Drosophila melanogaster: one gene and its partners. The protein of the gene in region 1 interacts with the protein of each later gene in a pairwise test. Each region holds a gene or a part of one and is shown in the gene's direction. Other genes may lie near its edges. The genes, in order: HHEX, ara and CG11164.

Region 1 (5,080 bases):
CCTAACTCCTACTTTAACTTTAACTCGTTTGCTACTCGAACTTTCTCACTAATTGCTATCAGGACGAAAAGTCGATGGATTTAATTTTATTTCGTAATGACTAGGAAGCTTGTTCAGAACAATGGCAACAACCCCAAATACTCGACGATCTTGTAACCCGTAGTGCTTTTTCAAACCAAAAATAACTGAAAGATGAATCCAAAACTGAGAACTCAATGTGTGCATGCCTAGTTATGTCTCAAATTGTAGTTGAATTAATTTATTTTGCATTTTAACTGTTGTTTTTCTTTAAATGGAATTTAAATCAAAGCAAGCAAGCAAGCAAATACTCAAAGAAACTCAAACTCTTAACTCTCAAACAATGCGAAGCAAAGCAGACCTTGAATAACTTCTTGCGAAGCCTATAAATAGTTATAAAATAAAGCTAACGATAACTTAAATTAAACTCTATATATATTATTATGTATGTACACTATATGCAAAGGATGATCAGAAAGGAGAGCCGATAGAGAGAGAGATAAGTGAATCAAATGCAATAAGAGGTCAATGATGAAATGATGCTTATTAATTACTCGCAGCCAACGTAGTGCTATATACAAATATTTATTCATTTGCATAAATAAAAGAATGAAGATAAATAAATATGATAATGTTCGAATCAAACGCAACTTCATGGAGAACAAGTCAAGTGAAAATATGTATATATATATATATATATATATATATATATGTATTGAAACCTACAGCTTGCGAGGCGATCGAATAAAGTTATAAATGTAAAATGAAGTTGGAAACAATATCGACATCTTGTCATCGAAACACATGCCCATTGGAGGGGATTACAAATTCAGCCGGTTCTTTCTTTGCTGTTATTAATGCGTGCCACAATTATTTATGCCCAATTTCGAAGTCATTTCAAACCGTTTGTCTCCTGATAATTGCTAATAATTTAGCCTCACTTGACGACCATAAGCCCCCCAGGCCATGGCTTCTTATCGAGCAGTAGGCCTCGTCAATGTCTCGAATTGGTCGCATTTAGTTATCGCATAGCACCGAAAAACGATTTTATTTTTATCACCATTCACCATTCATTATTAACTATTCATTATTATGTTATAATTTGTTTCTGTAAAGTACAAAATACTTTTTGAATGGTCATTACTTACCATTGAGAGCTTCCTTCTGACCAACCATCAGACCCCCGAATACTCTATTCGAACCATTCATGTTGATAAATTTGAATACTCACCTTGTGATATGTCACAAAATGGCCGTCAGTTGGGTTTTTCGGGTGCAAAACGTTATATCGATGGGATTTTGTCGGGGATCACACAACTGACTATCAGTTAGCAGAGCAACAAGTGTCTGCTCATGATGAAGCGTCGAAGTGATATGTCCGGGGATTACAAGTGCACTCGGTAGCATGTTGTATGGGCTTCCTTTCCTTCATATCTTGGAAAGCAGGCTTTGCATAAATTAGTTTCCTAAATGTTTTAATCTCTTTTTCAGTCAAGGTGCTTTCCATTAAGGTATATCAATTATTATGCGAACAGAAACATAAAATATAATATATGTATGATGTTCAAAGAGTTATTTTTAAAATTTTGATGTCATAAAATTTTAATCACCAATCGATTGACTGTAGTTTACTGCCCCTTTTCAACGAAGAACCCCCGAAAATTCTATTTGCAATTCATTAAATCACTTTTCAGCGAATCATATCAAAAGAAATAGGTTTATTGCCAAATATCACATGAATTTGAGTCATTGTCATATGTAGTGAAGTCATACAGTTTCGATTGAACTCCTGCCAATTTAAAGTAGTCACCATTTAGCAAAATCACAAAACTTGAAGAACTTTTAACTCTTTACTTTCTACTCATCGTGTGAACCGAAGACATGATAACATCCTTTCCACCAGCGGAAACTAAAGATTTTCATTGTTCCCGAAACTCGTCGAGGCCCAAAACTTATCTCGAAGGTACCAATTTCTGGGGCGACCTGAAAAACAACATCAAAGGGGTATCTATCAGTAACAATAACAACAATTAAAGGCATTTATGGGCTGTGCGTTTTCCATTTTATCACCCGGCCCAAGCCGAAATCAAAAGTAATCCATCATCTGAGAGGCTTTACGAGGAGCCCGAGTACAACTGATAAGACACCCCGAAACACCTATCCATGCCCCAGGTATACAGACGCATATATTGTTCCCAAAGAGCAGAGAGGGACGGCACCATGGCCGAAATCATAACACAAACTCGATTACTCAATCAAAGCGATGGCTCTCTGATGGTGTTGGTAGGGGGTAGGGTGGGGGGTGCCTTTTGGGGCAATTTTAATTTGTTTACAACAACAATCAACAGAGTAAAATAGCCAAACAGTAGCTGAGAGCTGAAACCAGGTAACGATACCGATAAGGGGTGATTAACAATTACTCGATCAAACGCACCGACCCGCCGAGTGGGAGGCGTTCTGGGGGAGGGTGGTTGGGTGGTTGGGTGGTGGGTTCGATGGGTTGGCAGCTCAATAAGCGGGCGAGCAGGGACTGTGATTTATACAACGATCGCCGATTGGGTGTCCAACCGCGTACCGATGTCGAGCTGTCGCCGCCTGCAATTGGAAATTGGAATATGGGTATTGGGTATTGGGAATAGGAATCGAGTGGAGTGGAGTGGAGTGCCATCGAGGCAGTGGAGCGCCTAACCAACCACCACTCGCTTATCAATCGATGGCCGGTAGCTCGGCACTATCTCCCATGCGCGGCATATCTACATACCGCTCTATTATTGTTAATATTGATATCTACCCATTAGCACAACATTATAGGTACAATCTATTATATTCTGTGAAATCAGATTTGGTACAATTTATAGCGCCCATGGGCTCTGCGACGGCTCCTACAGCTGGTGGCCATTAGTTCATCGCCTGCGGCCGACGCAGTCGCTTCGATCGCTCCGGACCCAATCAATCGGTATCTACAGTTCGTTACTACCGCTCTCAGAATCCACCAATATGGATATCGCCACCAAGTCCAGCAAGGCCGCCTTCTCCATTGAGAATATCTTGGAGCAGAAGAGCTCCTCGCATCGATCTCAATCGCGCAGAGGCTCCTCTCAAAGTCCCGTGGCGGTAACAGCAGGCATAGCTACTCCACACGCACTGGCCATGCCCAAGGCATCCTTGGCCACTGGATCATCCTCCGCGGCGCCTACACCCTCTCCATCGTCCGCCACCAACATCTACGATCTATCCCGCGAGGCAGCTGCCGCCCAGTATGCCATGAAGAGTATGGACTCCAGTGCTGTCCTGGCTCCCACTTCGCTGCGCTTCAATCCCATCTACCCGGATCCCGCCTCGCTCTTCTACCAGCAGGTGCTGCAGCTCCAGAAGAATCCCTCGCTCTTCATGCCCCACTTCCAGGCGGCCGCTGTTGCCGCCGCAGCCGCTGTTCAGCCAACAGCCTATTGTGATCAATACAGTCCATTTACCATGGACTGCGAAGGTGAGTACTTCAGAATACCTACTTAGTGGGGTTAACATGTATTTTAGTTGGGTGTTGAATGTCCTAAAAGATAAAGATTCATTTTCAAGATAATTGCTTAATTTTTGTGGTAATTTATGATAAATCATTCACTAAAATAAGGGTGCATGAGGAGAAGACATTACAAATTTATTATAAAGTTATGGTATTTCCACAGAGCTATAGAAAAGGTATAGAAATGAAATATTAAATTATATGCAATCTAATCTCAGCAAATTCAAAAGATTGTAAAGCAGTTATAAGGCCAAGAAGTATAGTATATTTATTCGACATTATGAATGAAGACAATACAGCATTTCTTTATTAAAAAAAATTCTAGAATAAGATCAAAATTATTCAATTATTCGAGCTGTATACATACATGCAAACGCAGTTGAAACCCTTAGGTCAAGTTATTGACAAGCTCATAAAATAATTGACTAATATATTAATTAATGCGGTTTTGAGAAATCTATTAGCCCAATGATGTCTATCAACAATTTAGTCGTTTGACCTCATTAGCATATTTCATCATACTATCAAATGACCGGAAATGAGTCACCTGAATATGAATGAATAAGCGCTACAATTATCAATTAAACACTAAAATGCAGATAAAGGCAGAAGCATTCTCAGAGTATGATATGTTAAATCCCTATTCTTAAATTCTTATTCATGAAGCTTGGAACCATAGTTTCTATTAGACTTTCTCACAGTTTTTAGCAAAGACTAGGATTGATTCGACACTACCAAGTTCAAGTCATTGAACCTACCCATGCTGACACCTTAATCTCGCTCATCAAGTTGACACATGGAAATTGATCGCCATGGGAAAGGTGTTGCCTGAAATCCCCATTTAAATACCAAATATCTAAGCTAGCCTAAGTCCGAAGTGCCCGGACCACCGAATATTACAATGGGGATCCCACACAAAATGGGCCATAAACATGATTAATGTGTGTGTGTTGTGGTGCAGTTGGGTATTTGTCAAAGTCAAGTGTTGGCGCCAATGCCACTCGAAATCACATTTTCCCCGCCCCAAAAACTGCATTTCCCGGTTGGTTTTCTGGGCGGTGGTGTAACGGTAGATTAGCCCTAGCAATGCTGATAAAGTCAAAGTCCCGAATTCCATCCCCTCGCAGTACAAATGCCCCATTCAGATCGGAAAATATTTCGGTGGCTTATCAGAAGTGACAAATATTTGAAATTCAGGTGAGAGACAGCAGAAACTATATCTATGGATATTTAAGTGACAGTTAGTTTTCATTGAAAGGCATTGAGCTGTTGATTTGGGAAAATCGAGCTGCTGCGAATTAGACGGACTGTGAGAAATCATACTCATTTAAACCTTTGGATAACACACAATTATCACAGGCAGTATCTTTCGATATAATTGTAGTGAAATAGGAAGGAATCAATACAACATTATAGTGGAATGGAATATCTAAGTGCACCTTTCTGTTCCCAATATGCCCGTCTTGAGGATATATCTATGATGAGTCCAACTGAGTTAGGATCATACTACGCCTCAAAAAAAAAAAAGGAGTATTGATTAGC
Region 2 (5,080 bases), on another chromosome or scaffold:
GTTTTAAGTGCCGTCGACTGATTTGTAAGTGAAGTGCACTTCTTGCCACCGAAAGTGGCAACTGCCAATTGTGCGATTTCAGTCCGCAGTCTCGGATCGACGAGGACTTTTTCGAGAATTCTTGCCACTCGATTCTCGAACTCAGAGGGTGGTCAGTGTGTGGCTGCCGCAAATGGAAACGCCCCATGTGGTTGCCACTCGTCGTCGTCTGGTGTGTACCATCATGCTGACCCATTGATTGATTGCATTTGGCCCGTCGCTGCCACGCCCCCCGCCGCCACTCCGCCCACAGACCCCCGGCCACCCCCTCTTGCGTCCTTCCCTTTTCGTCCGGCGATTGCAAAAGCGCCACTCGTAAAACGCGCAACACAGCAAATATTGTACTTAACACCCGGAGGGGCACTTGGAACGGACTCTACGCTCTTGTTGCCGCCGCTGCACTCGAAAAAAATACGTGCTCCCATTTAGAATAAATATTTTTAAAAGGCCTTTTGCTAAGAAAACTACCTTAGAAATATTAGGAATAGGCTCAATTTTTAATACTTATATTACGAACTTTTAGAAGCACACTTTATATAGCTTAATTATTTTATGGCATAATTAAATAATATGTACATTGAAAAATATGCATTATATATTTATAAATTATGTATGAAATTTATAAACAACCTTTAGTTTTTCATATTTAATCTATTATTTTTCCAATTTTAAAAGCAAACTTACTAATGTTTACCAATAAATTCTATACACCTTTATCGAGGTTCCTGTAAGTGATCCCCGATTTTGGCCAAGTGTGCGACTGCCGCTGGGTTTTGCCTTTGGCCTCGTCATGACTTGGCTTCCCTTGGAATTAATTCACATTTGGGTTTTGGTGGGGGCAACAGCTTTGGTCATTTGTTGCTTTCAGCTAACACGCTGCTCTCATTTTCCGGCGCTGCTGGGCCGCGGTGGGTGGGGTGCCACCACCCCCAGTACCACCCATATCCACTCACCATAGCCACTCCATACTGCTCTATTCTACCCACACTTCCAGCCACACCACGTGGATCGTTTCATCCACACACATATATCTTATGCGGAGCGAGGTGAGGACACGCCCAGACCTTATGGCGCAATTCCGTCGTGTAAGTCGCACTTTTTCGGTTTTATAGGTTAATTTGCTTTTATTACATTATCATAAAAATAAACAAACGACAAAAAAAAGAAGAAGAGAAGAACAGGAGAACAAACAAAAACACGCTGCAAACAAGCTTGCCAACATCCGCGGCACCCGCAAAAACATTTGAGGTTTACCTCATCTCCCCCATCACATCGCATCACATCCACGGCGGACTCTCCATTTCCGGAATGCGTGTCCTCGACCGGAGAATTCATCCTGCCGGAGAATCGTAATCGTAAAAAATAGATCGTAAAGCGGATGTCCAAATATGTTAGTGCGCATTAATAGCAAAAACTTTTTTCCAAATCCAGCATTTTCACGGGCTCATGTGCAATATGCGGGTACCTTTTACACACTAAACTTATGGAATTTTATAAATATAGTTAAAAGTTCATAATAAATATGGTGTAAGTGAAAAAGTGGGCCATTCCTTGCCCTAAATTTGACAGTATAATATATATTTTTTATGATTTCTTAAAAGACCGAACTTTCTGCAAAACACACGAGGTTTAAGTTATCTCTAAAAATATCTTAGAAAAATCAATTTTTTTTTTCAATTAATGTATCATAGTGCAGAAACATACGTTGCATGCAATTTATCAAAAAGAAAATTAGGTCAGGCTTTTCTTGTTTTTCGGATACACGTCAAGTGCTATTTAATTGCAATTAAAATTGCTTATGTTCTAGAAGATATTTTAAGTGGCGAAATTAAATTGGCTAGCATATTTAAGTAGCATAACAATTAGTTTAGTTAGATAATTAAAGTATTTTAATTGCCATAAATATTGTTCGCCAAAGTATCGCAAATGTTGAAAATACTTAAATGATCTGTGTCTGTTAAAAAGCAATTGCAGTAAAAAAATGCAATACACATTTTATAAAAAATTTAAAATGTCTCAAAGTTAATATATGTTATGATTACTAATAACATAACCTAAGCTAAGTAAAAATCTGGTTGATATTTAAAAATCCCAAGAATTAATGGTATGATTGCCTGTTTGAGTAAGGATATTAATTCCTTCCATAAAAAGTTAAAATCTTGTTGATAATTTAAGTAACTGGTATCCAAGTGGAATGATATTTAAACAAAGATCGCTGGAAATGTTTCATTTAAACCCGAATTAGGAGAGATTAATTAGTGAGGATCGATAATGGGAGTTAACTAAAGTGCAATGCAGCGATAAAGATAATGACAGACGATAAATACAGTGCGAGTGTCTTGGAATTTGCTGATCTTATTAACGCTTTTGTGTCGCCACTTTTGGCCATCGCAGCACTTTGTTGCCACTTCCAGCTGGCGATCGCTGGTGGCGCACTTCCAGTCGATGGGCGCGCAATTGTGAAAAGTAAACAAACAAATGACTAGCCAAACAAAACAAATGGGCGTTGCCCGGGAATTGTGGGTAAAACAAGAGACCATCGACAGTTGTGAAAATGCGTCCCGCTCCCTACCCACTTCCTCTCCCTTCACCATCCGCTCATTTCATTTGTATTTTCTTTTCTTTGCTTTCTTTCGCCTGGCGACCTCGCACCTGTCCATTAAATCAGCCAGCCGAAGCTCATGCAGCCCTACGATTGGTGGTTGCGCTGGCCTCACTTCCAGTGAGCCGCGAATACGAGTCACTGGCGGGGAATCGGATTGGAATTGCGGAGAGAGCGACCGGCCAAATGCCACCACCAACACCAGACAAAACCGGAGAACGGTGGGCGTTGCTCTAGAGTGCTTACACTTCCAGTCTGCCGACTCCGTTATTCTTGTTGCTCGCTCCAAGGCGAGCGGCATTCCGTTTCTCTTTCGATGGGGGGAGGCAGCATATTGTTGTCCCGCTTCCGCGCCAACTGCAGCGGAATGCGCCCCAACAGCGCAGCAACAACAACAGCAACAGCAGCAGCAACACGGCCAACAGCAACGGCATTCGCAACCAGTTCGTGTTCGAACGTTATAAGGTGCACATCTGAAAGGGAGCGTGTGCTGAAGCGCCGCGTTTTTGCCGTCGATATTTCGTCGATTTTTCGTTGCCGCCGCGTTTTGCGAGTGCTGTTAGCCAGAAAAAAAAATAAAATATATATAAACAAAAATCCACCACAAGTGACAGCTGCAACTGCAAATACCAAACAAATCCACGAGATACTTTCGGTTGGCCCAATGTCGTTATGGTCGTTATCGCCAGTGCCCACTGTGAACAGACCCAATCGAAACTGAGCTGTTAAACCCCCGATAAGCACATCATTTGATGTAGCAGCTTCACCGTATATCCTTCAGCAGACTGCCCACGAGCGAGAGAGAGAGAGAGAGAGAGAGAGAGAGTATCTTAAGACTAGGTCTTATATAGTCGTATAGTCATATAGCGAAATGGCTGCCTACACACAATTCGGATACGGAGGCTTTCCGTCGGCCTCGCAGGTGGGTCCTCTAATTAACTAAATTTGATCTAGATGTATATACTATATGATGGCTATTCATATTCATTAAGTAGCAAGAGATCTCAAGATAACTAGAGGAATGAAAATGTTTATTAACTGCAGATATGGGAACCTATTTAGATACAATATTATTCATACGACTGATATAATCAACTGATTATTGTAATTATGATTGCCTTAAAGATTCATAATTTTTATGTTTGGAGGTATTAAAAACAGAGGTCACAAGCAAAAAGCGTTGTAAAATCATATTTTTTCATATACATATTTAATTTTTCTATTTATAATCACAACTATCTTTTCTGGAGTGCGTTCCATCATTAAAACTGAACCCGTTATCTGAATATTTTTTCTAAAATTTTTTTCCTAAAAAAGCTTGGTTGGGTTTAAATTCTATTTGTGTGTTTTTTAAGCAATCCTTACCACCAACTTTCATCTGAGTACTTCCACCGACTCCAGTCAAAGTTATCCGATTATTTGATCTTGAGGACCCACTATAGGGCAAAACCGCTAAAAGTCTTTGATTGTAGCGCTTTTGGACTTTTCACTAAGCAGCAAAAACAGCTGCTTGAGGCAAACTTTTTCCATGTTTATGACAGTAAATTGGTGGCAGGCCAGCAAAAAACCATAATAAATCAGATGGCTGATAAATGGCCTGAGAAAAAGCCACTCCGAGGAATCAGGCGTTTTTGTCAACCTTCAAAATTCACACAAAAAACGATTCGGCGTTTTAAAGATGTTGCACAAAATTGCGCGGCTTGCAGGTGCAACTAAAATATTTGTAAAATATTGTGATAAATTACAAAAGTTGTAGAAGCTTTCGAAAGGCCTAGAGTAAATTAAATTTCCTATTGATTGCGTTTGCCTGGGCTAAACTTTAATTTCCCAGGCCATAATACTTGGTTACCAATTGCCTGGTTCTTCCTCCAAAGAACTCTGGCGTCTTTCCCATTTCGGACCACACGAGCCCAATTAACTAAAGTCGAAAACGAAAGCAAAAAAAAAAAAAAAAAACTAAAGAAAAAGGAAAAGAAAAAAGGGAAAAGCCTTGGCAATCAGAAGGCCAAGACGATGGGAGGTGCCGATTGAGGCACGCTCAGGTGAAACTGTTGAAAAGTCAATAAAATTCAATTGCGGCGATCGTAAATCATAAAATTCATAACCGTAAAGTGACAGCTGAGGGCAGGCTCTGGGAATGCCCTCCTGGCTACGTGAGGAGCATCCATTGAATCTGGAGATGGCAGATAGGATAGCATCCGAATCCCAACGAACACGATCGATGGACCAATGACTTGGCTCCACTCTGATCTACTTTACATTGGCTTCGTTTTGGGGAGTGAGGAGAATGAGCGGAGTGCGGCTCCAAGTGGCGCTTATAGTCCGGTGCTATCAACTTGGTCATCTGGAGGAGATTGTCGGGGGAGGCACTCGGATGCAGAATCGCGGTAGCCTGGCCGCTTTGGTGGACCCACGAGATACAAGCTGCGATTAGATCGC
Region 3 (5,080 bases), on another chromosome or scaffold:
TCCAATACTGAAGACTTCGGGACGATTAGAGCTGCCTGGCGGCGCCGGCTGGAGAACGCCCAGTAAAAATGAGTCCACAAAGGTGCGCTTGCGATTGTAGAATGCCCCGATGATCAGCACATCGAACTCGGTGATCAGCCCTTTGATGTACTGGTTGGAAAATTGAAGTGAGTTCATATTAAAGCACTCTACTTAAAAATGACTCTACTCACATCAGCCTTGTCCTTGTACCACCCACCGCCCAGTCTAACGCCAGGCTGATATCTTGATCCCTGCTTCTTTAGCACAATGCCCTCGGCGTGGGAGTCGAGTGCCTGCTGGAACAGCTCGTTGAACTCTTGAACGGAACCGATTTTGCGTGCACGCATCAACTGCAGCACACCCGACTGTTCAACTATGAGTTTCTGCAATTTGTACGCCCGCTGAATGTAGGTATGGTCCAGCAGACTCTGGCCATTAAAATATAGCAGATCGTACACCACGAAACATGGCTGCCAGCTGCCCTCCGGCTTCAGGCTCTTCACGTCCGTATTCTCGCCTTTTTCCCGAAAGCGCAGTTTGTTGGTATCCCACACCATCATCTCGCCGTCGAGTATGATAGACTCCAGACCCAGCGGCAGAAGTCCCCTCAGCTTTGGCGTTAAGGTGCCGTGATCGTAGCTGTGACCAAAGTTTCTGGTGTAGTCCACTCCATTGCGGGAAATGTACATGAAACGACCCCGATCGATGTGCAGCTGAAAGCGTTCGCCATCCATTTTGGTCTCCAGATAGAGCACATCCGACTGCATCAGCTCCTGGATGTCACCGGGGAATCGTTCGCACAGCATGGGACGTATCTGGTGGAATGGCCGTATGACGGAATTCAGGTTTACAAACTTGACCGCCGCCTTGCTGTCCTTGCTGCTGCTGGCGTCTAGGTCGGTGGTTCGGTCTGCCAGCAGATTGCACACATGTCCCAGATCGGAGCAGCGCTGGTAGATATCCTGCGCCTTGGGGTGCAGCACACCGAAAATCTTTTGCTCACCGATCCCCAGCCCGAGGCTCTTAAGCAGCAACCGAATTAGCCACTTCTGTTCCTCAGGCGAGGCCTGCTCCGTAAACCGGATGAGTTGCTGCTGCTTAACTGCAAAGAGCGGTCTCATTAAGACGTTCAGTCGTTCAGATCAGTTTAAAAGCGCCCACCTTCTGTGTCCTCGTTGGCAATGGTGTCCAGCATCTGATGGATTTCTTTCAGTCTCAAATTGCTGGGCGGATTAAAGCACCTTGGCTTAAGCACGGAATAAACAACATCACCGTAGTCCCGGTACATGTTTCCGTTGCGGTGCTGCAGCCTGATGGCATCGCTGGCTAGTAGAGACAACAAAGAGATTCTAAATAAGCCTAAATGCCATTGCCAATACGTTTCTGCACTCACAGTCCGTGGGTAGCTGGAGCACCCTGATGTAGAGCCTGCCCAGCGCGGTGATCTGCAATCCATAGGTATCCCGACCAGTGTCCGCACCCGGAAGCAGCAGTCGCAGCACGGAATAGAAGCTACTGGCACCGTCCTCCGGCTGGTCGTTGTTTAATCCGGTTTGCCGGCGAAAGGATTCGCGGTGGCGACAGAAGGACTCGTAGTAGCTCTTGAGGACCTCCTCCTTGTTAGCCACCTTTTGCGTGGCCTTAATCTTCTCGAACAGGCTGCAAATATCCCGGAACTTGATCGTGCTGGCTATATCTACGCTCATTTTGTTGTTTAAAAACAATATACTGTTGTAAACAATTTCATCACTGTGAACATCTGTTCAAGCAATGTGACCGCGCTTCTCAATCAAAGTTAATACCCATTTTAGACTAGTTGCAATATTAAGATGCGGACGTTAGTGGCAGAGATTATTTAATTTTTAAGCTCTTCTATTTGGCATAAAATAGATAAAATAGTTTATAGGAACAAGTTAAAATTAGCAGACTATATAAAATACCAAAATTAATCGATAGACTTCTATCAATAACCAAAAAGGCGGCAAATCGTTTGTTTTGGTTCGGTCCACAGTTATTGACTTTTGCTTCACGCTTGGCAAGTTATTCGAGAAAATGGGCAAAAAGGAAACGCGAGCGAGAAAACCAAAAGCTGATCCGGATGCGGAGGGATCTGCCAAGATGTGCAAGGCCTCGGCACTGAAGAAGGTGTTCTTCATGTCGGAGGAACTGCTGCCCAAAGATGCGGACGACGGACACCTTCGGCTGGAGATGTTTTTCCATCCCGGACATGGCAAGGAGGCACTGTTCATAACCCATCCCGATGGCAGAATGATGGAGCTGGTGGCGTTCACGGAACCCCGACGCAGTTGGTTCGTGGACAGCGAGGTCTGCTCCAACGGCAGAATCTACATGACCGCGCCCGTGGATCCCACGTTCCTGGCTCTTCATCACCTCCGAAAACATTGTGCGCAAAGTAAGATATTATCATTCGCTTTCGATGGTATACTATACTATTGTATTCTTGAAAATCTTTAACCACAATCAGGAGCAATATCGCTGGACAACATTGCCGTGGAGGAGGCCAGCACCAGTCGTCTGCTTAACGAGATCCTCGACCCAGGGAACCTTAAATGCGTGGCAGATGTGAAGAGCTCTGGCGAACAGAAGTTCTACAAGTACAACCAAGAGCGCACATTGGCTTGGTTGGCTCTGAAGACGCGCCAGGTGGCGAAGATCCTGAAGGAGAAGCAAGTCCACTGCGGCCACAGTGCGCAGTCGCAGAATTTCGTGCGAAGCGAGAAACTGGTAGCTGAGAACGTTAGCAACGAAATGGACTACACGCGCATGGCTTGCGATTATGTGGGACGGTATTTGGATGCGGATCTGCACGGCTTGCTCACCAGTTACCTGCACATTCCTAGCGAGATTCAGGCGATTGTTGAGGAGAAAGCAGCTTCTCAGAAGCGCAAGTCGGTGGCGGGCAAGAACGAGGGCAGCGACTCCAAGAAGATCAAGCTAAATGAGAGCGATGCTGCTGCCAAGCTAAAGTCCAGCGGTCTAGTGGACAGCGATGGCGATCCCAATGCCACCATCACATCGCCCACAGCGGCGCCTCTGAAGGAGCGCTCGCTGACCGCCAAGGAGAAGGCCCTGGCCAAAGGAGCCAAGGGCACTAAAAGCATCGCATCGTTTTTCAAAGCGAAGTAGATTAACGTTTCACAGATCTTAAGAATAGGTTTTAACTCCTTATTTTATATATATACTCTATTTAATACAAATGTACACTTTTTTTTACAATGAATATAGTACTTTAAAGAATTACTTTTGTTATTTTAAGATTTGTATTCATAAATTTGGTATTTTGAAAGTGCGCCTTTTTGGCGCATGCGCTGTTTGATCATCTCTCTTGATTCCGTTTGGTAAATCCCCATCAGCTGTTGGCGTTGCCAGGCTTCTAAGGAATTGGTTTACTTAGAGGCTTCAGTGCCAAATGTTGCGAATAAAGAGTTTCTTAGTCGACATATTTTTTTAGGTATACCATATAAGCATATTAAGTAATGCTAATTAAACATATGAAATCAGAGTATACTAATAAAACTAACTAGAAACGAAATTAATTTTTGGGGATTCATGCAACACATATGATTTCAATCCTTAGTTCATTGCGCGGGGTGGCAATCCTGGCCGTCAGTTACAAAGCTGCTGGCTCCTTTGTTTCCGTTTTTGTCGCTCAGTTGTTGCTGTGCGCGCTCCCACGTTCGAGGCTAACGGTGAATTCCGCTTTGCGCCTTGATTCGCATTTCGCCACCCCCGTTACCCATTCGCCCGCAACCGAATATCCTGCTACTCCTGCTCTTGTTGTTGTTGTTGTTTTCTATATGCCTTGAATTTTCGGAACAACAATTACAGGGGTTACATTAGTGAATTTTCCCGTTAGCCGTGTGTCCCAAAGCCAGTGCTCAAGTTTAAATTGTGAAAGGCAGAGAAAGGAAAAGAGTGGCGTCACACGAAAGAAAATTTTCTTTGGCGTCGTCGAGGTGTTTGTGCCTTAGTGTGTGTGTATGTGTGTGTGCGAATGTGTTGTGGTTGGTGTGGCATAAGATAAATAATACAATGCAGCACTCAGTTAGCAACAAATTCTCTCTTCTCTGCAGCAGCAGCAACAACAACGGCAGCAACACCAACAATCGCAACGCAACGCACAAAAGCATGCTACGGTAAATTGCATTTGGCGTCTGTCAAGGACAAAACAAAGCGCTGTTTGTGTGAGTCCGACCACAACAACAATAGCAACAACAGCATGTGGTACAAATAACGGAACTGCAAAGTATCAACAGCAAAAGAAGCAAGTAGAAAGCCAGATAGGAAAGCAAAACAAAAGACAGGAACAAATCGCACACGAGGGCCAAAACGGACACAAAACGGAGGCTGCGACAAGAAGAAAGCGAAGAATCGAAGAAAATAAGGGAGAGGCACACACTCCCCGCACCTCCTCCCCTCACCAGCCCCGTAGGACATTTGGCGCCAGTCCGAGCAGCAACTGCGACAGCGGCGTCGACTGAGGCAGCGTCAGCGGCTGAGAAAGATGTGGCTCCGTCCCTCTCCCTCGCACACAAACGCGCTGCAGTGTCTCCTGCTCTCCTTGTTCCTCCTTTTGGGGCTGCTGCCAGCGAACGTAAGTGCCCTTCATTTCATCAATGTTGCAAGCACTCAAACTAGCATAATAACCGAAAAACAACGAAATGTTATGCTGTAGTTAATTTTTAAGCGCATTTTACACATGTAAATTGTCAAGGTGATAAAAATCGCTTGTGAATTCATTTAAAACAAGACACTATACGTTTCACTGCATGCTTTTGGGAACCTTTGTATGTGCGAGCAATTTAAACTTTGGTTTTCAACACTGTAATATTTTGATTAAATACAATTATTGTGCGCTTGTTGCAATTTGGGCCCACGAAACGCCTTAAAAAAAGATAACAGCTAATCTTTGTAAAAAGTTTTTTAAATAAACGCAAGCGCATCCATGTTGCATGCACATTTGAATTTTAAATTGATTGCGATTGCTTTCCCAACGGTAATAAATGCATAGCACACAAACATAAATATGAGCACAAGA

What was found.
Region 2: the proteins of HHEX (region 1) and ara interact in a two-hybrid assay, tested with the Drosophila melanogaster proteins (one large-scale study listed by BioGRID).
Region 3: the proteins of HHEX (region 1) and CG11164 interact in a two-hybrid assay, tested with the Drosophila melanogaster proteins (one large-scale study listed by BioGRID).

The regions. Positions count from the first base shown.
Region 1 is NT_033777.3:21,078,619-21,083,698, reverse strand, and holds the start of HHEX (hematopoietically expressed homeobox), read left to right. Parts: upstream 1-2,772; 5' UTR 2,773-3,015; coding exon 3,016-3,505; intron 3,506-5,080.
Region 2 is NT_037436.4:12,577,591-12,582,670, forward strand, and holds the start of ara (araucan), read left to right. Parts: upstream 1-3,081; 5' UTR 3,082-3,512; coding exon 3,513-3,563; intron 3,564-5,080. UniProt on the Drosophila melanogaster protein: Controls proneural and vein forming genes. Positive transcriptional controller of AC-SC (achaete-scute). May act as an activator that interacts with the transcriptional complex assembled on the AC and SC promoters and participates in transcription initiation.
Region 3 is NC_004354.4:13,666,014-13,671,093, forward strand, and holds CG11164 (uncharacterized protein), read left to right. Parts: upstream 1-2,000; 5' UTR 2,001-2,073; coding exon 2,074-2,434; intron 2,435-2,506; coding exon 2,507-3,168; 3' UTR 3,169-3,560; downstream 3,561-5,080. Other genes in the region: DNAlig4 (DNA ligase 4), read right to left, coding at 1-150, 213-1,123, 1,183-1,347, 1,415-1,727; CG15760 (uncharacterized protein), read left to right, coding at 4,547-4,636.